Linked DNA regions of Oryzias latipes. The protein of the gene in region 3 binds, or shares a complex with, the protein of the main gene of each other region. Links are inferred from orthologs where the notes say so. Each region holds a gene or a part of one and is shown on either strand. Other genes may lie near its edges. The genes, in order: naa38, naa30 and naa35.

Region 1 (8,387 bases), on a different chromosome or scaffold from region 3:
CAATGTAAAGATTTAAACACAATCACCCTGCATTCCTGTGGATTTCAGAGCCATATTTTCATGTTTTTCCAGTTGAACCTGGTCAGCGAGGCCATCGACGTGTGTTCAGAGGCTCATCAGAGGGACCCCCGCAACGCCAAAATCCTGCGGGACCGAGCAGAAGCCTACATCCTCAACCAGGACTATGAGAAGGGTAATTCAGCAGAAAAAACAAAAGAGTCCCATCTCTGCACCATCACTCAGACGATCACTTCTGTTTCTCTGAAGCCGTGGAGGATTACCAGGAGGCGCGAGAGTTCGACGGCGACAGCAACGACATCAAAGAGGGTCTGGAGCGAGCGCAGAAGCTGCTGAAAGTCTCTCAGAAGAGGGACTACTACAAGATCCTCGGAGTCAGCAGGTAAGCCCCACGGCGGCACCTCCAGGAGGGAAAAACTCTCCCTGACATCCCCGTCTGTCCTCAGGAGCGCCAACAAGCAGGAGGTCATCAAAGCGTACAGGAAGCTGGCTCAGCAGTGGCACCCCGACAACTTCCAGTCTGAGGCGGAGAAGAAGGAGGCGGAGAAGAAGTTCATCGACATCGCGTCGGCCAAAGAGGTCCTCACCGACCCCGGTCAGCAGTCATTCACACTCTTCTGTTTCCTTTCAATCGTCCGGACTAAAGCGAAACTGGAGTTTAGCTCGACTGAAAAGAACCAGAAACAGGATGAAGGTTTAGAATTTGCCAACAAAAGTATTTGTCTTTGAAGTCAAAATAAAAGCTAGACTAATGGTGTTGAGGGCCTTTGACTGAGCCTGTCACTCGACATTTTTCACGTGTTTGATTACAAGTTTTCGGTGTTATGAATACAATGTTTTCTTGTTCCTCCTTTCATCCGATTCCAGAAATGAGACAGAAGTTCGACTCGGGCGAGGATCCTCTGGACCCGGAGAACCAGCAGGGCGGAGGCGGCGGTCAGAGGCCGTGGCCTTTCCACTTCAACCCCTTTGATTCTGGAGGCAGCTTCCACTTCAAGTTTGAGTACAACTAGACCCCAGGAGGTTTGTGGATTGGGGACGGACTCCTCAGGACGTCTTCATCTACGTTGGTGCAGTTTCAAAACTTCTGACTTTTCTTCTTCTTCAATCTGGACCTTCCTCTGAATCCAGAGGAAGACTCTAGGAAACCTAAAGGTGGTGGTTACAGGAAACTGAAGCACTTTGTGCCATTTTTGAATCGTCTACAGGCAGGTTTGCCTCTTAGGATTCTTTTTTTCTCAAATGTGACATTTTGGAGTCTCCTCTTTCTATTTAAAGACTTTGAGGAGCTTCCAAAGAAACGATGAGGTTCAAACGTGAAACTTCTGAAGGTTGAAATCCTGTGGATGGAACTCTGTCGTTGCAGTTTTCTGCTTTAAACTGCAGCTCATTGGCCTTTCAAAAAAAAGATGATCAAAATAAAAAAAAGCTGCAAATATATTTAGGTTCAAAGGCTTTAATCTCCAAACGTCCACAAATGGAGAGAAGTTGGAGCTTTTTAAAAGTCCTTCAGAGAACCTGAAGACTCTTTGGTTGCCATCCCAGAAACTGCTTTATAATTAGAACAAGTCAGATGTTCTGCAGAGCCGGAGCTCGAGTTTCTGCGGCGTCTGTATTTCACAAAGACGCGGAGAATGTTTATGCGAAGGCGGAAAACTTAAGGCGGAAGTTTGAGGAAAGAAAACGTGACGGCTGTAGGTGCTGCCATGAAAAACCATGTTACGCCCCATCTCCATTTTATTTCTGTTTGCACAACTTTAAGTTATTTTTACCAGGTTAAGAAATGGAACTGGTTCTACGGCTTACTGTGTGGACTTTAATGTGACCGTATTTAAAGATGAAGTCTCATTTGTTGACGGCATCGATTTACTGTTGCCAAACTGAACCTGCTGACATGTTTTGAGTGTAATAAAACATGTAAATGATTCGTTTGCACTCCTTTTACCTCATTCGTTTGTTTTTCTTTCTTGTTTAGTCCCTTTTTAAATAAAGTTAATTAAAAAAAAAGAGGAAAAACTTAATGCATGCATGTGCATCTTTATATCTTTAGAAGTCCCTTGAGACAAACGGGAAGAAATTCAACTTCCGGGTTGAAGCAGGTTAAAAAAACCAAAGTAATTAGAAAAAGGTGAAGTTCACTAAGGAAACTAAAAGAAGTTCAGGTTTAAGGCATAAATTCAAAACAAAAATATTTAGTCTTGCTCAAAAAACATCTCTTCTTTGCTGGTTACAATATCCATAATGTACTCAAACTTTTACTTTGAAATACTAATTTTACATATGAACTTAAAAATCGTGAACGATTTTTTGACCAATTCAAAACGTACTTTTATTTTGAAAAGATTAGGGTTTGGTGATGTCAGTTTTGCAACGGACATCGCTGCCTTCGCTTTTAAAGTAATCCAATAAATTTGGTCCACTTCCCAAAACGTTTGTTTGACTTGATACAATATACATAACTGTAAAGTTTTATTTTCATTTTATTCATAAACATAAAGATTGCAAAGGTTAGTCTTCTGACTGAAAACTAAAAAGCCTGTTTGTCCTGCCTATATACTTTTATTTTGAAAAAAAGACTAGTTCTGTGATGTCACACGTCAGCCAAAATGGCAGCAATAAACGAAGACATTGCTGGCTTCACTTTTGAAAGAATTTCTAAAATAAAATGTGATCATAATCAGTTTAAAATCCTAAATATGGTCCACATTTCTCATACGGTTCTGCAGGAATCCAAAGCTTCAAACAGAACTTTTATTTTAAAACCACTCCGGCAGAGACGTTTAATCTCAGTCTGTCTCCACTCCTGCAGCCGGCAGAACCTTCCTGTCAGTCTTTGAGGGAACGGCTGAATCCAAACGTTCTGTGATCCACCAACACCAGCGGTCCAACTGTCCAGCAGCAAAGCATGATGGGTGTTGAAGTCTGCAAATGTCCCAGGCTTCCTCAGCAGATGGCTCCAAATCCGTGAGCGTCCTCTAGACTGTCGGCCTCCACCTCGATGGACACCACGTGGTGGCCGGGGATCATGGCCAGGCCCAGCACTCTGGGTTCACCCTGAGAGAACGTGTCTGAGGAAAGAGGACATGGTAGCATCAATGCTCCTTTTCAGGGGGGAAAACCGCCTTAAACCTCAGCCTCTAGAACTACGAGTCCGAGTTTTAAAGGTAGAAAGAAAAAAAAAAAACATTTCGCGACTCAGGAATGTTCCACTAAAACGTTTCTCCTGGTACAGTGGCTAAAGGTGGTCTAAATCTGACTGTATATGAGAACTGGACTGAGTGACCCCTCCCTCCTCACGTTCCAAACAGGAAGTAGCCGCTGGCTCCAAGAAGCTGAACTTCAACTTCCCATAAACTTCAACTGAGAAATAAACAGCCATTACTCAGTCTGAACTACCATTCTTGCTCTGCTACCTTTTTTTAAACATGTTCTTATTAATCTTTTTCTCTGTAGCGCAAATTATTTAAGTTATAAACTGACCAATCAGGTGCCTCAATAAAAGCATGTGGTCTTAAAACAAATGTTCAAAATGTTTGGCAGATGTGTAGCCTGCTTTCACGTGGATGGGGTGTGGTCTTCCAACAAGCTCACTCCTGTTTGGTTAGAGTGGTTGCCATTGGTTCGGACAAATCACCGTTCACTGACCTCGTATGGCTCCAACATGGCGGCGTTTCGCAAATAAAATGGCGCCAGTCCATTTTGTTGGACCTGGAGGTAAGGCGCTTTCTATGGATGACATCACACTCACTCAGTCCAGGTCCTAAATACAGTCAATGGTTTTATGACCTTTTCAAGACTTTTTAAATATGTTGGTTTGTGTTTTTGAAACTTTTTTTAGTGGAAGAACCATGTAACGTTGTTGAACATCTTGTGAAAACACCAGGGATGAGGATTTCATCTCCAAATGACACCACAACAACATAGAAAAGCCACAAACAAGAGTAGTAATAACTAGTTAAGTCTATGAAGACTCTCATTCATCCGGGTTGATTCCATCGTTCTGTTCGGGAACTGACTAAGCTTTTTGGATAAGAGGTGAAACGTCTTCAACTTTAAAAACCAACCAGATGGCAACCTTTCAACCTACTACTATGATGAATAACCAGTTAATATAAAATGTAACCCGATGTTCTGTGTGGAGGAGAACCGGCCAGCTATAACGTCTTCTCTGGTTCCCTCTTGTTTTGTTACCTGGAGATTTGAGGAACTCCTGAGCAGAGCCGAGGATGACGTTGCAGTCGCGGTCCGTGCAGAGGAAGAGCCCCACCAAAGTCCGTCCGTCCGTCATGCGGATCCTCATGTTCTTGTTCAGGAGCCCCTCCAGCTTCTGTCTGGCCTGAGACGAAGGCGGAACCTCGGTCTGCCCCTGGAGGTACACACACAAATGACTAAGAACTGCTGCCAACATTATCACAAAATATCTTAAAACGATGAACACGATTAATAATTGTAGAAGAATTGCAATTATCATATTTTATTCAAAGTAGCTAGTTTGTTTATAATCATGGCTGTGCAGGGCACGTTTTTAGAATGCTATTTTGTTAGCTTCAGGCTAACGTCTTACTTAAAGTATCGATAATCACTTTCTAATCTATCATTTGTTTTCTTCCTTTTTTTAAAAAAAATAGTGTAATGAAAAAAATGTAAATATCGTTACACAAAAACATGACAAATACATACTCGAGTCGAAGGACCGTTTTCCTCGATTATTGTTGCCATAACCTTTTCTTGTTTCTTGCGGAACAAATTTACCGACGGACCAGCTGGACCGGAAGTAGGTCGCATTTGACATTTTTTCCCCCTCCAGAAACGTTATTATAAATGCCAGGTACCGTACAAAAATATAAATATACAACAGACATTAATCCAAACATATAAACAAGGAATAAAAATAATATAAAGTGCCAGAGGTAGAAATGAATATGTAAAATTACATGGGTATGTAAAACTAGATTTAACAAAACTTTACAGATTTAGCATTTTTAAAAAGTTTATGTTGGGATATTTTCAAGCTTTTTGGCTTTTTGTTTTAAACTACTTGATTTTACAAATAAACAGACCTGAAACAAAAATAAAGAAAAGTTTGGGATTTGGTCAGAAAAATTACATTTATGACTAGATTCACTAGTTGCTTTATGGGACGCTGGAGGGAACAATGGAAGACATAAAAAAATGAAAAGATTAGTTGATTGATTGATTGATTGACTGATTGATTGAACATTTCTATGGGGCTAAATTAGGATCAGCTTAAAATGAATAAAAAACCAGATTGTGAATTGGAAGAAAACTGACGTTGTAAATTGAATAACTGGACAACAGTTTTAAACTCAAAGTACACATTGTAAACCTGTAAGAAGTATTGAACATTGTAAAACTAAATTGTAAATTTTAAACGTTAAAAAAAAACAGTTTTTTCGATAACAGCTGTTTATGTTTCTCTTTCCTCACTACGGAGCCTGTGAGCTAACATGGGTAAATAATAATAATTACTTGCCTCAAAAAAATAAAATTCAGATATACATTTATCCTGTTGTATTTGAAAGCAACCTCACTTACAGTGACACGTTGATTGGTCGAGATGCGTTATGGGATATGTGTGATGCATGATGGGATAAGTAGCATGAAGCCTTCGGGTGTAAAGTAACTGCTAACTGTTACTAAAAGACAAGTTACCTCAGCACGTCATGGATATTATTATTCCTGTTCGACCCTAAAATGCAACGCCACATACCGCAGCAACGCTTCGCCTGCTGGCCAGCCAGCTGCCCGAAAGTCGGCGTGCCGACAAGCTCGGCCCTCCTAAATCTTACAATGTTTCTCTTATTTTCAACAGTGATAAATGGATCCCCTAGTTTGATTCTTGTTTTTAATTTTCCCCTCTTGAATTAATGCAGGTCACAGAGACAAAGATGTAGCGGCGGAAAGCTGCTTTTGCGGCAGTCGGGAGAGCGTACCGGGATGTGTATGAACGGGATTATTGATGCTTTTGTGGAGCTTTTTTAAATAAATAAATTGGATCTCTAAACATCCTCTGTGTCTTCTATGCTTTGTATTGAGATATATACAGTCAGAAATGTGAAGGTATCTGCTGTAAATCCAAGTATTGCTCACATCCATGTTTATGAGTGACTTACCACATGAATTTACCCATGTCAGATCACGGGCTCCGTGTCTCGCTCTCAGTCCTCCGTCTACAATTTTAATTCAGACTTTCACAGTTTTCACTGCTGAGCCTAACTTTATGTGACAGGGGAGCTTTGTGCCCATTGGCCACCAAGGTCGGAATCCTGGCTAGGGGGGGGGGGGTCGGGTCGGGTTATGGTGGCTCAAAACAATTACCTGGTAGTTATGACAAAACAACGGTTAGGACAAATTAGGTCTTTGTCCATTAAGAACATTAAGAAATCTTTTTATAAATATATTGAAAGTGTGAAATAAAACGCAGAGTGACCTTTACACTGTAGAAAGAAAACTTATTTGATTTGAGTTTTTGTTATGTTAACCAAAAAATTGAATTTAAAAAAGCATCTAATTTGGATTAAAAAAATAAGGCACAACCTAATCTGAAAAACTCCCATGCGACTTTTGGAAAAAAAAAAAGTCTAAATAAATAAATAAAACATACACTTTGGTTTTTCAACTATGAAGCACAGAGGTGGAGGTTCTTACCGTGTGTTTCAGGCTCATGATCTAGATGTTTGCCATTTAACTCATGGACTGATGAAAAAAATGACCAAATTGGCTTCTGTTCCACAACACTTAAATAAAAAAGTGTCTGTGGAGAAATCTGTTTTTCACCATAAAGGATCTAAAAACTACTTTTCCAAAATAGCCGAGGGATTTTACAAATCATTTTTAACTTTGTGAAAAAATTCCTCTGTGTCTGGTTAAACTTACAGGTCAGTAGGAACTGCTCAGAGATGCTGAACAGTGGTTTTACTGCCATATTAAAGCAGTGAGTTGGAAGCATCTTCCTCTTCTAGAGCATTCTGAAGGTGATTTAAAGGTCGTCCATCAAGCTAATACTTTACTAAAATCAGTCTAAACTTCCAGCTTAACGTGAGCCAAAAGACACAAATCTTTATTTAGGCTAAAATAAGAACTTCCAAACTGATTGATGTCTTCTGCTTCACTGTTGTGGTTGACTGTAGTTTCACTTCATCAGTCTCTGTCAGTGTGCAGCACCTCCGGTCCACCCTTTTTCACATCAGATGTCTTCTTTTCATGGAGACGTTTGTGGTTTTGGTTGTGTGCAGCCCGTCAAAGACCAGCGGCGTCTGAATGGGTCTGTGGGCTGAACCTGATTAGAACATTGTGGAACTAACTAATTCGCTTAAGATCAACTCAGAGTGCAAGCTTTCTTAGCAAAGCATACCCAAACCATCATCCTTCCACCACCGTGCTTTACACGATGGTTTCCCTCTGTCTGCACCGGAAATGAACAGAACAAGAGTCTTTATTGCAACCCTCAAAAATTGTATTTTAGTATTTGAAACTTGATGGATGGATGGATGGATGGATGGATGGATGAATAGATAGATGGAGGCAGAAAATAAATACCACTAAAATAAACAATAAAAAACACAAGGAAGTGTCCGGTGTCACATACATCTTTATACTTAGTACAACATGCGACATGTAGTGAATTGTATTGGACAACTGACCAACAAGAACCTAAGTATAAAAATGGAAAACAATCTGAAAATAATTAAAAATAATACTAGATTGTAGAAACAGCAGTTACAAGGTGTAAAAGAGTCAATCTACTGTTAAGAGTATGAACGTGTATAAAGTGAGTACACTCAAAGCAAATGATCTGTAAAAAAAACATGAATTTGTCCTTGTGTAGCATTGAGAATGTACAATGTAGTCCAACCATCCATCCACAATTCCCCACCAACCAACCATCCATCTATCCATCCAACCAACCAACCAACCATCCATCCATCCAACCAACCATCCATCCATCAAACCAACCATCCATCCAACCAAACATGCACCCATCCACCCAACCATCCATCTATCCAGCCATCCATCAATCCATTCATCCATCTAACCAACCAACCAACCAACCATCCATCCATCCATCCATCCATCCATCCATCCATCCATCCATCCATCCATCTATCCAACCAACCATCCATCCATCCATCCATCCATCTATCCATCCAACCAACCATCCATCTATCAACCAACCAACCAACCAACCATCCATCCATTCATCCATCTAACCAACCAACCAACCAACCATCCATCCATCCAACCAACCATCCATCCATCCATCCATCCATCCATCCATCCATCCATCCATCCAACCAACCAACCATCCATCCATCCAACCAACCATCCATCCATCCATCCATCCATCC
Region 2 (8,211 bases), on a different chromosome or scaffold from region 3:
CTGAGCTCTAATGAAAGCTTCCTACTGGAGCCATATTTCCTTACATTTTATCATACTGACTCTTTAAAAATGGTGTGCAGCAGCTTTGATTGCTTTCAAAGCCTTGGTAAGCCACATGCACACACAGTCAAGTACACAACGCAACAGGCCCCAAACTGCATCTGGTCTTTCTATGGACTGACGGACAGGCATCCGGGCATTTTATTAAAACAAAAAGTAGGATGATTGTCCAAAATCATTATCTTACGAGTCCGAGCTAATTTCTCCTGGAGAACTCGTATCACTCAGCAGCAGATGGTTCATTTCTCACCCAAATTCTTAATTGGGCTTTTCTTCTCTGCCTGTTTCCTTCACACAGACTCCTCCCTCCTCTTGCCTCACTCATTTTACACATGAAAGCAAGATGCTAATTGTCTGCTGTGGGAGTATTCAGGCTGTGATTAGTCAGACTGGGTTTGGCCTGGCTACAGTTCCTTGTGTCTGACTGTTAAGGCCCGTACACACCGGGACGAATATTCGCCAGGCGTTATTCGCCAGCGTTTTTCGCCACGTTTTTTGTGTTCACACCCAGGCGATTTTCGCTGACGATGAGTGGAGTGAACATGCAATTTCATTCCCTGACATTAGATGGCGCTTAATGTAAAACAGAAATACTCCTGTACACAAGGTGGCGCTGCGCAACTTTACGCTTCTGAAAGTCGCTTTTCACTCAGAAGAAGAGAGCAAGTATTTACACGCTTGTCAGAATCAAACAAAGAAAACATGAATATTTCAAGCACCAGTAGCTCCAACTGGTGCTTGGTTCGGGGATATTTTAGAATGTCCGTCATTATTTCTTCGCGGCAGTGTAGACGCTACTTGGCGTCTATCTTCTTCGCTGGTATGTGTGCTCAGCAAGGCAGTTTTGTGTTTGAGCGCCCCCAAGTTGTGTTTTACTGTAACTTCAGAAGCTCCAGACACGTGAGCAAAAGCGCCGTTCTCATTGGTCGAGTAGATTTCGACGCGACGCGTCGAAAAAAAAAAAACGAACCCGAGGCGTTTTTTTTTTTTTGACGCTTTAACGCCTGGCGTTTTTTCGCGTCGGTGTGCACACTCTCGTTGGTGCCCTTTGTTTAGTCACGAGGCGTTAAACGTCGGCGAAAATCGCCGGCGAAATTCGTCCCGGTGTGAACAGGCCTTTAGGCCAAAATATCAACAGCAGAAGGAAACAGGTTTTAGGTTGTTCAAAGAAACACATTAGCTGCATGACTGGTCCTGTGCTCCATTGTGTTGCCAACATTAGGTTGGTTCATCTCAGACAGGCTTAAGATAAATTACTGGATGTAAGCTAACGTTGCTTTTAAAGTTGTATTACTGACATCAATCCAATTATTTTTGTTTTGATAGATAGCTGTTCTTATGATCTCCACCTTATCCCCCAGGAGCCATTTCTGCAAAACTCCCATGTATGTGTGGGAAGCTGATTATTTTTCTTCTTTCTCTCCGGTAACTATTAGGTAGCACAAATAGTTTGGGGCGTTATGCCACCCACAATAAGCTCTGGGGTCTGCAATGAGCCGACGGACCATCCCGGGTGTACCCTACTTTAATGTTGCATAACCGCGCTTTTCTCCCGACAGGATCCACTGGAATTATGTTATTTGGGTAATAGGTCGGACAGTAACGGTAGTCGAAAAAACATCAACATTGGAGCAAAAGCTTTGATGTTAGAGGGTTAAGTGGGTTTGGAAGGTGGCTAGATGATAAGCTCAAGTCTCTTTTGAGTAATAAAACATAGCCAAACCTCCCACTTCAAACCTCACCGCAAATAATTAAAAACTCTATCTGGAAAAACAAACTGCATCCACTGCTGTCTTGTTTATTGACCCTTCTGCAACCAAAAACTATATATTTTGATAGATTTCCACTTCCATTTAAAACACTGCACTCTGATTTATATTAAATTTTGTGTTTTTATCATGGATCATTTAATCTTCCTTTAAAGACTTGCTGCAATGAAACGCGTGTTTTTTTGGTTTGTTTAACATGTTCTTGTGGCATTTTTTCTGATGATAGAGGACAAATAAACAGGAAATTAAGATTAAAACTACTTTTCTGAGTATTTCTTTATTCAAATTGTGATGAATCAAAAAAATCGTTAAAAAAAAGCCTGTAGCTGTGACGTACCCCGTTTTCTTTGTTTTCCTCGTCCAACCTGGTATCTGGCTCAAAACTGTACGGCTGGAAAGCTCTTATATTGCTCGCCATCTTTTTTTCAATGGTAATGTTAGCTTGGGGTTGTAAGGGGCTGTGAGCTAGCAGGAGAGAGTGTAAACAAAGGGATTATGGGAAGTCAGGTTGGGCTTACCATAGAAGTAAAACAGTTCCTGCAGGAATCATTTTCTAATACTGTTACAGGTAAAAGGATGAATTTACAAAGCTTAGATTTTGTTTGGGTTCTCAAACTGGGTATTGCTGCGTGTTCATGGGTTTGTGCTGATTCAATACCTTTTTTTCTCTTGTTTCTCGGTCGTTGTGTTGCATTTTTGACACCAAACTAAATAGGTCTTGAAATGCATGAAATTGTTAAATAGAAACTGAATAGTAGAGTTGTTGCACGCGGTTTAGGTCAAATATTTCCCCCCATTTATTTTAGTTTCATTGTTTATTTATTTTTTGTCAGCAAAATATTTTATTTGTGCTTGATGGGTTGTAATTTTGTGCATATACTAGTGTTTTACACAATTTCTAACCTACATTTTCACTTGTTCCTAAAACTACAACTGTCATGGCAGCTCACTGTCGCAAAACGTCCTTTGGGTGCGACAGGCACTTTACGGCAGCAGGTAGAGCAGCAGACAGCAGAGAGCCGTGGTGTTCACCGGAGGACCTTTTGGCTCCAGACTCCGAGGATTCGGGAAAAAATCTCCGAACTTCGAATCGACTGCCGGTGTTCCGCTCGGTTTCGTTGATGAGCCCGTGTCCACCGCGTGGATCTCCGCTCTAACGCAGTGGGATGGCCACAGTGCCGCCCGGGCCTAGTGAAGCTCTGCTTGCGTCCCCGGCTGACAGTCATCCCTTCTCCGGGGACAGAAGCGCGCAGCCGGTGGTGGAAGACGGACAGCCGCCCTGCCTCGCGAATGACTGCGTGTCTGCCGGCACGAGGGACGAGTCTCATCCGTTGAACGACGTTAAACGCTCGGTAAAGAGGAAGCAGAAAGGTATGCTAACTCAAACTAGCCCGGCGGTGCTGCACCTCAAGCCTCAGAGCGGAGAGCAGCAGCTGAACGGCGTGGTCAGCCCCTCCGAGGAGCCCGACGTCCGGCCCGAGAGTCTGAGGTCTCCCGCTGACACTGACAGCGGCGATGGAGCGCCGGCGGAGCGCGAAGGCCCCGTGTCCGAGAACGGCGCTCACCTTAACGGCATGCCGGACTTCTCGAGGTCCGAGGCGGCCCGCGGAGCCGACAAACACAAGCAGCCCTCCAGACCGCCAGGCCACGAGTCCCCGGACGCTGCCGGGCCCGGCGGAGAGGAGAGCTCCTCGGATCCGCCCGCCGCCGAGCTAGCCCGGCTTGACCTGAGTGGCTCTCCCGGGCCGGACAGCCACGGCATCCGCTACGTGCGCTACGAATCGGAGCTGCAGATGCCGTGGATCATGAGACTGATCACGAAGGACTTGTCCGAGCCTTACTCCATTTACACCTACAGGTACTTCATCCACAACTGGCCGCAGCTCTGCTTTCTGGTGAGTCCAACTCCGATCCCCCTCCACCCAAAAACACCTCCAAACCAGCCTGCTGCCCACGTGCCACAGGTCACATGACCACTACAAACACTCACCTGGAAAGTCTGGTTATGATCTGTTTGCTCCAGATGATTGAAATGGTCACGTGCCCAGCACAAACGCCTATAATCTGACAATGGTAGTTACCTAATTTGATGAAACTATAGCAACCAGCTAGAGTTCTCCCTAAAACTCTTAATTTACTACAACTCTTTCACTTCAAAATGTTACAAAAGCAAAAATACATCTAGACAATAGTCACAGTGAGTGATAAACAGGGGATCTAGACTTTTTCTTTGACTAATGCCCTTTCTGGGATAACTGTAAAACTATTGTCAACTGTTATTAAACATTAAAAATTGATCAAATATGGTATTGATCATTTTTGGCCATTTTTTGTTGTTGCTTTCTTTCCACACCGTTTTAAAAGCAGCAGAAAAGATCTCTGCTGTTGTATGATGCGTTTTAAATAAAGTTTTTCAAATGAACTTGATCTAAATGTAAACACATTTTGACAACATTCAAAGGTTTTTATTCATATGGTATGGTGTTAAAAGGACTCAGAGGTTGTCTTTGTTTTGTCCCTTTTAACAAATAACTTTGTTGGTTTTTGTTGTCTTAAATTCAGGATCAAAGTGTCTTCTAACAACAGTCATATAGGATTGAAGTCAATAGAAATGATGTACAAACCATTGTCTGTATATAAGAACTGGACTGAGTGACCCCCCCCCCCCCCCCCCCCCCCCCCCCCCCGGTGTTCCAAACAGGAAGTTCCGGCTGACTCCAAGAAGCCAAAATCTCATAGACTTCTATAGAGAAATAAACAGGTCAGTCTCAGTCATCAGTAAGCTCAATGCGCCTATAACAAAAGACGACATAAATGGTTACCTACAAGCCGCTTTCCTATGTGGGTCATTTGGAGAATAATTGAAGTTATGGTGAGTTTGATTCAAACAAAATGTTACAGCAAATTGGAAATGATGCATCAGTTATTTAGCTTTTCATGTATCGCAAGTGATATAGTCTTTGCAATGATGATCACTAATATCGGACATGGCGGGTTTTCCTCGTGTCGTGCAGCCCTAGTGACGGTCCAGCTCTCATATACAGGCAGTGGGATGTGTGTGTGTGGATCCCAGCATTTTCCTCCAGCTTTATTTAACCCTCGCTAGCTCCAGTGTTGACGGTCTTTCCATGCAACTCTTCAGCTGGTTTTGCAATTAACGTCATTCCAGTGGATTCTGTGGCAGAGAAAAGTAGCTCTGCGCCAAAACATTACGTTTACTGTCGTAAAGTATTGCATGTCTGTACAAAGCCCCTTTTTTCTGCGGCTGAGTCGCACTGATGGAGTAAATGGTTGAGGAGTTAACGTTATGTCAGAGAGTGTGTGTTATTCAGGTGTTGCCGGCGACTTTCCCCAGTGTTAAAAAGCTAAAAAATATCTTTTTTGTTTTGTTTTTCTTAGATATGAATGTGTGTACTTTACAAAGCATCCCTCACCTTTGACCCTTGTGCTATCTTAGATGACCCCACCCTTACATTGACATGTTCTCCCTACCATGATAAAGGTGGAAAGATTTCATGTAATCTCTGGACACCAGTGAGGATCACAAATCATTGAAGAAAAAAGGTTCAGAGCACTGTCTAGTGGGTCTAGATGACCCAACTCCCAATGGTAAAGTGCCTAGGATAGCACAAGGGTTATAGCAGACTTCAGCCTCTACTTTTTGTAGAAGTGCTGCTAGCTAGCAGCGGACCGATCTTCAACCTTCACGCAGGGCTAGAAGGACCTGAAGGCAGCATGTTTGTGTGTCCTCAGGCCATGGTGGAGCAGGAGTGTGTGGGAGCCATCGTTTGTAAACTGGACATGCATAAGAAGATGTTTCGCCGCGGCTACATCGCCATGCTGGCTGTGGACTCCAAGCACAGAAGGAAAAGCATCGGTAAGCTCTGCCTTTGTGGCAGACTTTCAAGAGGAGCTTTATTTAAAAACTATCAAATCAAATCAACCTTTATTAATATAGCACTTTTTCAACACATGTCACTCAAAGTGCTTTGCATAGAATATAATCAAACTTTAAAAACAAAATGACAAGACAAACAATGCCAACCAACCCCCCCCCACACACACACACACACACACACGCAGACACACCCACACACACACACACTCACACAGACATACACACACACACACCATGATAAAAAGAGTGATAAAATGATGCAATGTAGAGACCTGGCTTTGTCCTGAAATGGGGAAACGATATTTTGGGGACATGTCCACATCAGTGACCCCCCCACCCAAGTTCATGGAGTCCACTACCGCAGAACCCCCCAGATCCGATCGAAAGAGTCAGACCCGGGAGATCCCACTGCAGCGACCCCGTTCACTGAGAAGGTCAGTCACTGATGTGGAGGATCGCTGAGGAAAACACTAAAATATAAAAGGAATCAAATGAAGATATATTTAAAAGATGAACAAGAAACAAATAATTACATAACACCTAAATAGACACATAAAATGGTAAGTGTGACAAAAAAATTAAAAATAAATAAATACAAATAAATAAATAAATGTTTATACATACACATATAAAACTAGTAAAAGGAGAAAATAAATAATGAAAATATCAAATAAATTCATAAAATTCAACTAAAAGCTAGAGTAAAAAGGTAAGTCTTAAGCCCTCCTTTTAAAAACATTAACAGTCTCTGCGGCCCTGAGGCTCTCTGGGAGGCTGTTCCACAGGCGAGGTCCATAAAAACTGAATGAGGCCTCGCCGTATGTTTTAGTTTAACTTTTGGGATAACCAAAAGGCCGGTATCAGAGGACCTCGGGGTCCGTGAGGGCTCATACTTTAGATAAATATGAAGGCCCGAGACCATAAAAACATTTATAAACCAATAAAAGAACTTCAAAATCAATCTTGAGTTCATCTCTGAGTCAAAAATAACACCCAGGTTTCTCACACACTGAAAAGTTTTGTAAGTCTTTAGTTTAGATAAAACAATCTCTCTCTTGTCTTCAGAACCGATCACTAAAACCTCTGTTTTGTCCTGGTTAACCTGCAGGAAGTTTTCTGCCATCCATGACTTAATGTCTAAAATGCATTTTGTGTTGACCGACTCTTCGTCATCAGGAGACACAAGCTGACTTTTTTTGTTTAGACTGGAACGAGCCGCAGCATCAGTCATTGAAATAGATTATTCTGTCAAGGTTTCCTGACTCTGTGTCTTTTTCCAGGTACTAATCTGGTGAAAAAGGCCATATATGCCATGGTGGAGGGAGACTGTGATGAGGTAACAGACTCTGAAAAGAGTCCCCTTAATCTTTCAAGCTCGACTGAACAGTTAAATCCTTTCTCCAGAACAGAGGAGAGAAAATGTTGAATTTTTAGAAAGCATCAAATCTCACAAAGACACAGCAGTGCCTGAAGGGGTTTACCTCAAGTGTGTGCCTACCTTTGCTGGTTTTTAGTTCAAATCATGCCTCCACCAGCTGTACCAAAATGCTGCAGTTCCTCAAATGCCCACCAGGGGCTGGCATCTATTTCCATTCACTCCAATATAATCTGGCCTGTAAATGTTTATGTATCAGCTTCAGGTGGACTAGAATTCCCTTAACGGCACTTCAGGTGAGCTTTGAAAGATCCTAAAAAAAATCTAAACGTGAACTCTGGTGTGGACCAATCAACTCAGTCAAATGAGTGCCGTTGAAACCTGGGAGTCTTCTGCTGCTTTCACACCGGGACCGGAAACATGCCTTTGAGCGATCACACTCAATGAAAAAACGCATATATGGGGCTTCCGCATTCAAAACATTCACATTTACGGGTCGCTACCTTAAGCTTTTAAGTCCGTCTTCAGGCTCTACGTACAAAATGCGTCGCCACGAACGCTTGTCAAAAGTTCAACAACTAGAACTTTGACCAATCAGGAACTACCGTATTTTCCGGACTATAAGTCACACTTTTTTTCATAGTTTGGCAAGGGGTGCGACTTATACTCCGCAGCGACTTATATTAGAAATAAATTGAAATAAATACATTGTTAACCCTCCTGTTATGTTCATTTGTGAGGAACAGAGATGATGTTCCTGGGTCAATTTGATGTATGAGGTATGTTAAGTGACTCAGAGAATCAGCAAACTTTTTTATACAGTAAGATCTTGAAGGCTAACAACATAATATTCTATTTTCCAATGATTTCATAGATTCAGAAATGCAATAAAAGTGAAAACTGTTTCTACAAATACAGGATGAAAACAGAGTATTAGTTAGCCAATGATGCTTCATGAAAAGAATAAATAAATACGTTTGAGAAAAAATTACTGTGAAATTATTAGATAAACAGTCTGCTATGATTGTGTCATATAAGGTTGTGAAAGTTAAAATGCGACTTATAGTCCAGTGCGACTTATCTGTGTTTTTTTCTACTTTATAATGCAT
Region 3 (7,645 bases):
GAGAATTTATAGGGTCTGATTAGGCTGCTGTTTATTTTTTCATTTTCTTTTCTTTATTTTTTTGGCAACTGTTAATTGCTGCAACTTAAAATGAATACACAAGAAAAAAAAGTCACATTGTTTTTTTAATTCACAAGAAAATTGCTCTTGGGTTCTCCAGGGTCAAAGCTCCAATCCAACCCTTAGTCGTCTTTGGCATGGCTTAACTGTAGATTTGAACCACGTATAGAAATCTCAGGGCAGACACTCTACTACTACGCCACTGAGACTTTTTTTTAACATGTTTTTTAAGCCAGGTGTGTAACACAACAAATAAAAAGCGTGCATTCACAGGTGACAGGTGTGTTACCTTTGTTTCTTTCTTGTGGCCTCCAGCCAGAAGTTTCATAACTACAATGTTGGGCTTGGCTACCTTCAGTATGCGGTTCACCTGAGTGGAAATGGTACAAAATGTTAGCTTATTTTTTATCACTGTCACTACATTTAGAAAGCAATGAAAACACAAAGATTAAAGGATATAATCATTTATATAATCATATATTTTATTATTTAACTTTCGTATTCTTAACTTTTGTATTCTTAACATTGTGCATTCTTAATGTAGTGGGTGTCTGTATTTATTTTTATTGATTGGGCTAAGTCTGGAATACATTTCATCCATTTATTAAATAAACAAAATGTTTTATTTAAGATCTAAGGGTGATTGGTTGTTCTAAATACAGTGGATCACAGTGGATCTCACTGCATTGCAGATCGTTTTACCAGTGCAACTTTGCATGCTTTTTTTTCCCCACAGTGCACTGCATTCTGCGTCCTGATTGGTTGTTGACCTTGTCAATCAATCTCCCTGTGCCCTGTCTCTGAATGTTTTCAGCTTGTCAAATTTACATAAATGTTTGTTTTCATTCTTTAAAACTGAACTCATTTTCTATGAAACTTAGAAAGTTTAAGCGAGGTAGAAAAGTGCATAAAGTGAGTAGTGAGGAGCTTTACAGCCTTAAAACATCTGTCAGGGGGGGATTTTTAGCTCCGTGTGATCAATAAGAGAACACTGTAGAGCCATTCTTATTTTGATTTAAACTATTTAGATGTCTGGTCTTTGCTATTTTGTTCCAAAAATCTGTCTATAAGAGAGATATTACTTGTTCAAGTTATCCTATCCAGTCCAATTAAGGCTCATAAGCTGAAGAACTCATCATTGACTGAACTACTCTTCAGCCCGGTGGGGTTCATATAGAAAAGGTTGGTGTTTTAACAGTGAATGTAATTCATCCTGACCTCGGGGTCCGGGCTCAGCACATTTTCTAGTATGAGTTTGGCCTGTTGAAAGTGTTTGCTAGCTGCCAGGTAGAGATCTGCAGAGCCTGGAGGAGGATTGTACTTCTTCAGATCAGACATCTCCTGGAGAAAGAAACAAGAGAAAACTGGAAGTTGGCATCAGGTTGCAAATATACAAAGAAGGAAAAAGAAAAGAATGGGCACAATGGGGGGTACCTTGAACTGGATGTAGTGCACAGGCGGGGGGGTGACCACACTGTTGAAGGGGGCAAAGCGATGCTCGTAGCGAACTTGTTCACTGTCCAGTTCAAACTGAGGCTTGTGTACCTTCCCATCCATGTCCAAAGCTACCATGGTCTTAGAGGAGAGAATGAGGTGGGGGACAGAAGTCACACTTTATGCCTGTTTAAAGTTCCAATCCAACAATCTATTGATCGATTGCTGATCAGTGATCACTGAATACTACAAAATCAAAAACCCTGTGTCGTTTTCTAGGTTGCAGCCCCCTCCCCATTCCCCTCCCTGTTGCTGACAATTTAGAGCAGGGAGCTTGAAGCCCACATAACGTATTTTCTACGCCACAAATAAGCTTTTTTCTCCGTCTTTCTTTTGTCTGCTCCTGATTCACAACGATTTGAATAAAAGAATATACAGAAATGCAATTTTCGGCTCAATTTTCCTCATATATGTCCTCTATCGTCAGAGAAATACCACAAGAACATGTTAAAAATATCAAAAACACCATTTTCAAGATCAGGTTCTTTCCTACCTTGTACATGCCTGCACACATATTCTGGTACGCCTGACTCATGGTGATCTCCTTACTGAGAGGCCGAACTGTAAAACAAACAAAATGGGAACTTATCCCGAGCTAAACATCATTTCTGTGTGTTCCTGGTGTCTATATTTCTTTAAAGCAGTGGTCCTCAACCTTTTTCAGGCCGCAGATCGGTTTAATGTCAGGCAGACGGGTCCAAAGTTGGAGTGTAAAATTTTTCAGCTTCTAGTAAAAACCTATTTTTCACGTTAAAATGCCACTACAAGCAATTTTGTTTAAAATAATCTGAAAGCATCAGTAGATTTTATTTTGCCGATGTCAGAATTTGGTGAAGGAAAAGTCTTTGTAGAGGTTATTTCTGATTCTTTAAAATTTAATAAAAACAACAGTTTTATCCCCCCATAGAATGTCATAACATTAAGAACTTAAGGTCCAGTCATATCAGGTCATATTTCAGAGCAAAAATATTTTTTTAAATCTTGTTTTTGCATAGATCCTGATTTTTAACATTTTAACAAGAACATTTTCTGTGCTAAAGTTTCTAAACAGCTGCTTGACTTATTCACCCTTAATCTCCCTTTTACAAGTTTCCTCAGAAACTTCAGAAACTCAGATCAGAAACATCTTCAGCAGGTCGGCAACATTATTTGATTGAATCTTTATTCTCTGTAAAACGTTTGTGGCTGGTTTAAACTTAGACTTTGTGATGAAGATGAAGACAGCAAAGTCGATGCTAACAACCGAATGCAAAGTTTAGCAGTGACTGACTTTTAAGATGTTATGGACAAATGAGGCAAAATAAAATAACACAATCCTCATAAAACTGGTATTTTCTTAGTATAATCCTAAAGGTGAATCCACAGTGTCTGCATCTTTATTATCTGCACATGTGAAACATTTGAGAATCAGTCGCCGCCCATGAAGTACAGCAGCTTCTGGTACGTGGGAACAACTGTCTCATTAAATCCGTATTTGGAGAAAAACTCCTGGTTTTGTCTGTAAATAGCTTTGATTTTTCTTTGAAGTTGAAGATCCTTATTTGGTTTCCTCACTGGGTCTTTTCTCCAAAGAAACTTTCCAAATACGTTTTTATTGTTCATTTTCCATTAGCTTTGGGCTACTAACTTAGCAGTCTGCTAAAAGTCCCATGATGCATCAAGATAGTCAGATGTGATGAACAGAATCTGGTCGTTTTCCAAAAATAAAACTTCCTTCAGTATCAGAAAATAAACAAACTGAAATAATCGAAGTTACATCCTGGTACTCAGTGGCCTACAGACCGGTACCGGGACCACTGCTTTAGAGAATTTGGCACACCTTTCTTCTTCTTTTTGCTCTTTTTACTGCTGCGCCCTTTCAGCTGCTCCTCCAGGATTCGCTCCTCTGCCATCTGAGAAGAATCTGCTCTGCTCAGAGTGGACATTAGCCATGCGTACAGAAACTCTGAAAGGTACCTACAAGTGCAAAATGAGAGCAGATATAACATGGGCAGAGTTGGTGCTCTCTTTGTGCCAGAAGCAGTTTTTTTAGACCCATGGCCCTTACCAGTAGATGTAATAATACTCATGCATGCTGTAAAGCTCCAGTTCAAAGCCACTCAGCAGATACTGGATCATGATCCTTAAGTTATGATAGAGGATCCAAGTACCAAGACAGGCTAGGTGTTGTCGCTGAGGCTCGAGTTTCATTAGTAAGCTGTGCAATGCGGCGTCCACCTTCTCAGCCTGCAAGCAAAAACCAACTTCAGTGCAAAAAAATGATAGATATGAGAGACGGTACAACACAGGAATGTGGAGTGGTGCATAGGACAAATTTGCTCTTTGTTTTTCCACCTATTTGAGATTCAAACTGCATTTAAGCAATAAAAAAAGGGAAACTGTGTGGGGGTCGTGGATCAAAGGAAGCAGCTGAGGCTCACTTCATCCTGCAGCGTGGCAAACTCCTCGAGTATGTGCCCCAGCTTGTCTCTCTGCCGAGCTCGGTTGTGTCCATGGATCTGAATAAGGCTGCAGAAAGGCTGCTCGGACAAAGACAAATAAACATGCCATTACAGTTTGACTTTCAAAGATCTGGAAGTATTCTGTATACTTTTCTGTTCAAATGCACAAAACACCAAGAAATGAACAACTCTGATTTAAATGTCCGCACCGGAGAAGCATTTGAAGTCAAAACGCTGAACAAAAACACAAGACAAAGGGTAACGTACCCTAGAACAGTGTGTGACAAAGGAGTCGATGTAGTCCTTGGCCTGGTGGTTGTTGAACAAACAACATCTGCAGATGAAACACAGAATCAAGAAGCATTTAAAAAGATGTACTAAAACCAAAACTTACAGCTGTGAGCAACCAAAACATGGACGGATTCGGCTGAGGCACAGCTAAACCCGGCCTCTGAGCGGCACATGACAGGTGTGTCACCCAGCCTCATTATCACAACCCATAATAGCACAGTGGGTTTAAGCTGGCCTGCTGGCTCACCAGCCCACTGTGGGGCAGTGACATTATCACTAAAGCTGTGCGTGTTGCTGTTGTCTTACAAGTCTCTTTGTGTTCTGCCATGTTTCACATGTTTGCGGTGCTGCGTGCAGTGATCTAATGTTTATTTGGGCTCCACAGTCATTGCATGCAGTAGGAGCTTCACTGTTAAACTGCTCCAACATGGAAACCCTCGTCTTTGCACCTGGAATAGCTCTGTGGATATTCAATACATCAATCTAAATATTCCAGTCGGCTCAGTAGGAAAAACAATATTATCTTACTTGGCTACGGTTGTTGTATTTCTCTGACAATTAGTCTGCCTGTGTCTATTTTGAGCAAGGTTAAAGAGATCACATTCTGTGGGTGTAAGAAGGTTACTGAGAAAAAGGCCGATTAAAATTGTGTTTTTGGTGTTTTTAACATGCTCTTGAGGCATCATTTTGATGATGGAGGACATGTGTAAAATAATTCAAGCTTAAATCTGCATTTCTGAGTATTTCTTTGCTTAAATTGTTGTGAATCAGGAGCAGATGAAAGAAAAAAAAGCTAATTTGTGACATATGGGTCTGCCTGCTCTGAGCTCTCACCAACGGGGAGAGGAAGGGGGGGTGGGGCTTGCTCCACACCAACGTCCCGCGCACAACTCATAGGCTAATTTTTTAATGAACTACTGCTGCTCTGCAGAAACTATGTCCTAGAAAACAAAACAGGGTTTTTGATTTTGGCTAAAAACGGCAAAACCATAATCAAAAGACCTGTGGAAACTCTTTGACAATAGCTCAAAAGATGATACCTGATCAAATCAATGGTCAATAACAAAAATAACATCAAGGAACTTACTTGTTTGATAGGACAGGAGGGCTGACAAAGTATCTTAGAGCATCTTTAATCATGTCCTGCATGAGGTGGGTTCCAAACACTTTCTTGTTGTCGATGAGAAACGTCGTCTGAATTTGTTTAAGAGAAGACGGGGAAAAAGAACTGTTATGGCAAGCATTTTCAGATGGTTGAAGGGATGTATTTCCCCTTGAATACATCATCATAAAGCTGGATCACTTTCTCAAAACAAATCATATATGTGAATAAATTGCATTTATGGGAGTCAAATCCAAACGGTAGTCTACCTGGAGAAGGGACCGGGAGAGCACACAGGGGGACTGCTCACTGAATTCACAGAAGAAGTCCTGGTAAACACAGAGACTCTAGTCAGCGTGAGCAAACCTTTGCCACCAAATTGTATTTAGACACAACGTAAGAAAACACACAAATGTAAAAGAAGAAATGAACATATTCCTTCTTTAGGGTTACTGAAAGTTATGCATTCACCAGTATTCCGTGCAGGTTTGTGGTGTTGATAACGTCACACACAGTCTTAATACGCTCGATGAGTTTGCTGAAGTAGGCCACCATGTCTTCCCTCTTTATGATTTTGGCGTAGCGTGGAAAGGTGGGCGGCAGCAGCCGCTGGTTGACTAAGGGCTCAAAGCCCATCATGATAGGGTGGTCTGTAGAAGAGGACGGACAAAAAAACACAAGAATGAGCCAAAATAAAGCTAACGTTAATTTAAAAAAAAAAAAAAGTAAAGTTTTCAGAATAAAATTAAACCTCCCAAGTATTTATTTTCATTAAAAAATGGTGCAGGGAAGAAAATGTATGATGCTATTCTGACTTGGTTCAGTGTTTTAGTAGATCAGTGTGTTTTTTACCGCCTTTGGTGGTGTCGTTTTGGGACTGGATGCCATGTTGAATACTGGAATGAATGGAGGACAGCAGGTCAGCAGCCTGAGTCACAAGCTTCTGAGCCTCGTTTACTGAGCTGGTCTGATGAGGACGACAACAAAAAGGAAAAAAAAAACAAAAAACTAAAGTGTGTGTGTGTTAGGCATTGATAAACAATAACCTATACATTAAGGTGGAAAATATACAAGCTGTTGCATTTAAAAAAAATATTAAATTAGAGAAACAACTTATAGCTGGATTCAATTCTAAAATAGAAAAAACTCTTTCCTAACTGAACATTACCTCTTTTTTAGTGAAGGCGATCAGAGCCGACAGTAGGAGGCGTGTAAACTTGATTCGGTTGAATAGAGCCAGACAGTGCTGGTGCTGCACACGGAAAAACATTGGAGAGCTATTATTACGGGGCATGTTTCAAAGCTCCACAAGGAAGGAGGAGTTTTATTTTTGGTTTGACCACCCAGAGAAGTCTATTTCGGGGTCTACATTTTTTTCCTCTTAATACCATCAGGACTGCTGGAATTTCCCAGAGCAGAATCACTAAAGGTCATCGGAATCCCACACTCTGACAGGAACCACGGTAAACAAAACACAGCAGAGACCACGCTACATTTGGTATGGACTTCAGGGCAAGACTTTTGGAAAACAATAAACTAATCTGTGTAAAATAAACATGTTTCAGGTTTATCAAATATTATTCCAACTTTTAATATCTGACAAGAAAATCTACATCTGAAACATTCCACACACTTGGATAGGTAATCAACTCACCTCCAGCTCAACCTCTGGATTTCTCTGCTCACCCTGCCGACTGCGAGTGCTCTGCAGCAGCAGGAGATGTACAGGAAACATGAAGTACTGGAATACACATACAGCAAGAATTTGCAGTAGTAGCACATACCTTAACTTTCCTCTGTAACTCATCCTCCACATCTCTCAGCATACCTGTTAAAACATGTCACATAAGACAATGAGAGGGGATGATAAAAGCACTTTATATTCTCCCTCATCGACCGTTTCATTTTTAACAGGACTTGTACCTGTCACACGCAAGTCTGTCACATTATTGGCCATTTTGAAACCATACGTCATTGCTTGGAAATCCTCCTGAAGAAACAAATATGACAGACAACAGTAAGATTCTCTTTAAACACGTGTTCGTGTGTTTTATGAAAGTTCAGTGCAGTTGCATGCAAAGACTAAATCCATCTGCTCACCTCTTCAAACACAGCTGCCTTGTTAATTTTTTCCCGTGCAATGTCGCAGACCTTTAAAATGCCCAGGGCGAAGGCTTTAAGGGCGGGCTCCTCGATCAGGTCAGGGTTATGGACGTATAGACAGGTGAACACCGTCTGAGCCAAGGAGTGACCCTCC

The links.
Region 1: the proteins of naa35 (region 3) and naa38 are in contact, whole or in part, in a cryo-EM structure (PDB 7MX2), measured with the Homo sapiens proteins. The link is inferred for Oryzias latipes from reciprocal best matches to the Homo sapiens genes NAA35 and NAA38. Residues at the interface, in NP_001308810.1 of Homo sapiens: Val30, Asp31, Ile32, Thr33, Phe36, Ala39, Cys40, Leu43, Leu45, Glu47, Leu48, Leu49, His50, Asp51, Phe54, Glu58, Ala59, Ala62, Ile63, Glu64, Met65, Met66, Ala72, Gly73, Met74, Gln306, Arg307, Leu309, Pro310, Pro311; in NP_001307854.1 of Homo sapiens: Ala41, Arg42, Leu45, Glu46, Leu48, Leu49, Arg61, Phe67, Leu68, Cys69, Thr70, Asp71, Arg72, Cys74, Ile77, Arg97, Val98, Leu99, Gly100, Leu101, Ala102, Met103, Val104, Pro105, His108, Ser111, Ile112, Glu113, Val114.
Region 2: the proteins of naa35 (region 3) and naa30 are in contact, whole or in part, in a cryo-EM structure (PDB 7MX2), measured with the Homo sapiens proteins. The link is inferred for Oryzias latipes from reciprocal best matches to the Homo sapiens genes NAA35 and NAA30. Residues at the interface, in NP_001308810.1 of Homo sapiens: Leu45, Gly46, Leu48, Leu56, Ala59, Met60, Ala62, Glu64, Lys69, Glu121, Phe313, Pro314, Arg315, Ala444, Leu510, Glu511, Leu512, Glu517, Pro605, Lys606, Phe607, Glu608, Leu609, Asp610, Val614, Arg615, His618, Arg619; in NP_001011713.2 of Homo sapiens: Glu221, Pro238, Ser240, Tyr242, Thr243, Arg245, Tyr246, His249, Asn250, Lys304, Ile324, Glu334, Asn335, Leu336, Gly337, Val339, Arg340, Asp341, Lys342, Arg343, Phe345, Arg346, Tyr347, Tyr348, Leu349, Leu359, Trp360, Leu361, Arg362.

Annotation. Positions count from the first base shown.
Region 1 is NC_019876.2:17,554,254-17,562,640, reverse strand, and holds naa38 (N-alpha-acetyltransferase 38, NatC auxiliary subunit), read right to left. Parts: upstream 4,817-8,387; 5' UTR 4,804-4,816; coding exon 4,699-4,803; intron 4,385-4,698; coding exon 4,210-4,384; intron 3,087-4,209; coding exon 2,962-3,086; 3' UTR 2,471-2,961; downstream 1-2,470. Other genes in the region: dnaJ homolog subfamily C member 3, read left to right, coding at 73-193, 268-400, 465-613, 886-1,031.
Region 2 is NC_019882.2:10,205,291-10,213,501, forward strand, and holds the start of naa30 (N-alpha-acetyltransferase 30), read left to right. Parts: upstream 1-2,668; 5' UTR 2,669-2,995; coding exon 2,996-3,724; intron 3,725-5,582; coding exon 5,583-5,706; intron 5,707-7,007; coding exon 7,008-7,063; intron 7,064-8,211. UniProt on the Homo sapiens protein: Catalytic subunit of the N-terminal acetyltransferase C (NatC) complex. Catalyzes acetylation of the N-terminal methionine residues of peptides beginning with Met-Leu-Ala and Met-Leu-Gly.
Region 3 is NC_019867.2:10,970,094-10,977,738, reverse strand, and holds part of naa35 (N-alpha-acetyltransferase 35, NatC auxiliary subunit), read right to left. Parts: coding exon 7,489-7,645; intron 7,379-7,488; coding exon 7,312-7,378; intron 7,217-7,311; coding exon 7,173-7,216; intron 7,094-7,172; coding exon 7,043-7,093; intron 6,641-7,042; coding exon 6,557-6,640; intron 6,356-6,556; coding exon 6,241-6,355; intron 6,039-6,240; coding exon 5,860-6,038; intron 5,718-5,859; coding exon 5,658-5,717; intron 5,481-5,657; coding exon 5,374-5,480; intron 4,330-5,373; coding exon 4,263-4,329; intron 4,074-4,262; coding exon 3,975-4,073; intron 3,781-3,974; coding exon 3,602-3,780; intron 3,511-3,601; coding exon 3,374-3,510; intron 2,116-3,373; coding exon 2,048-2,115; intron 1,636-2,047; coding exon 1,495-1,635; intron 1,402-1,494; coding exon 1,279-1,401; intron 431-1,278; coding exon 350-430; intron 1-349. UniProt on the Homo sapiens protein: Auxillary component of the N-terminal acetyltransferase C (NatC) complex which catalyzes acetylation of N-terminal methionine residues. N-terminal acetylation protects proteins from ubiquitination and degradation by the N-end rule pathway.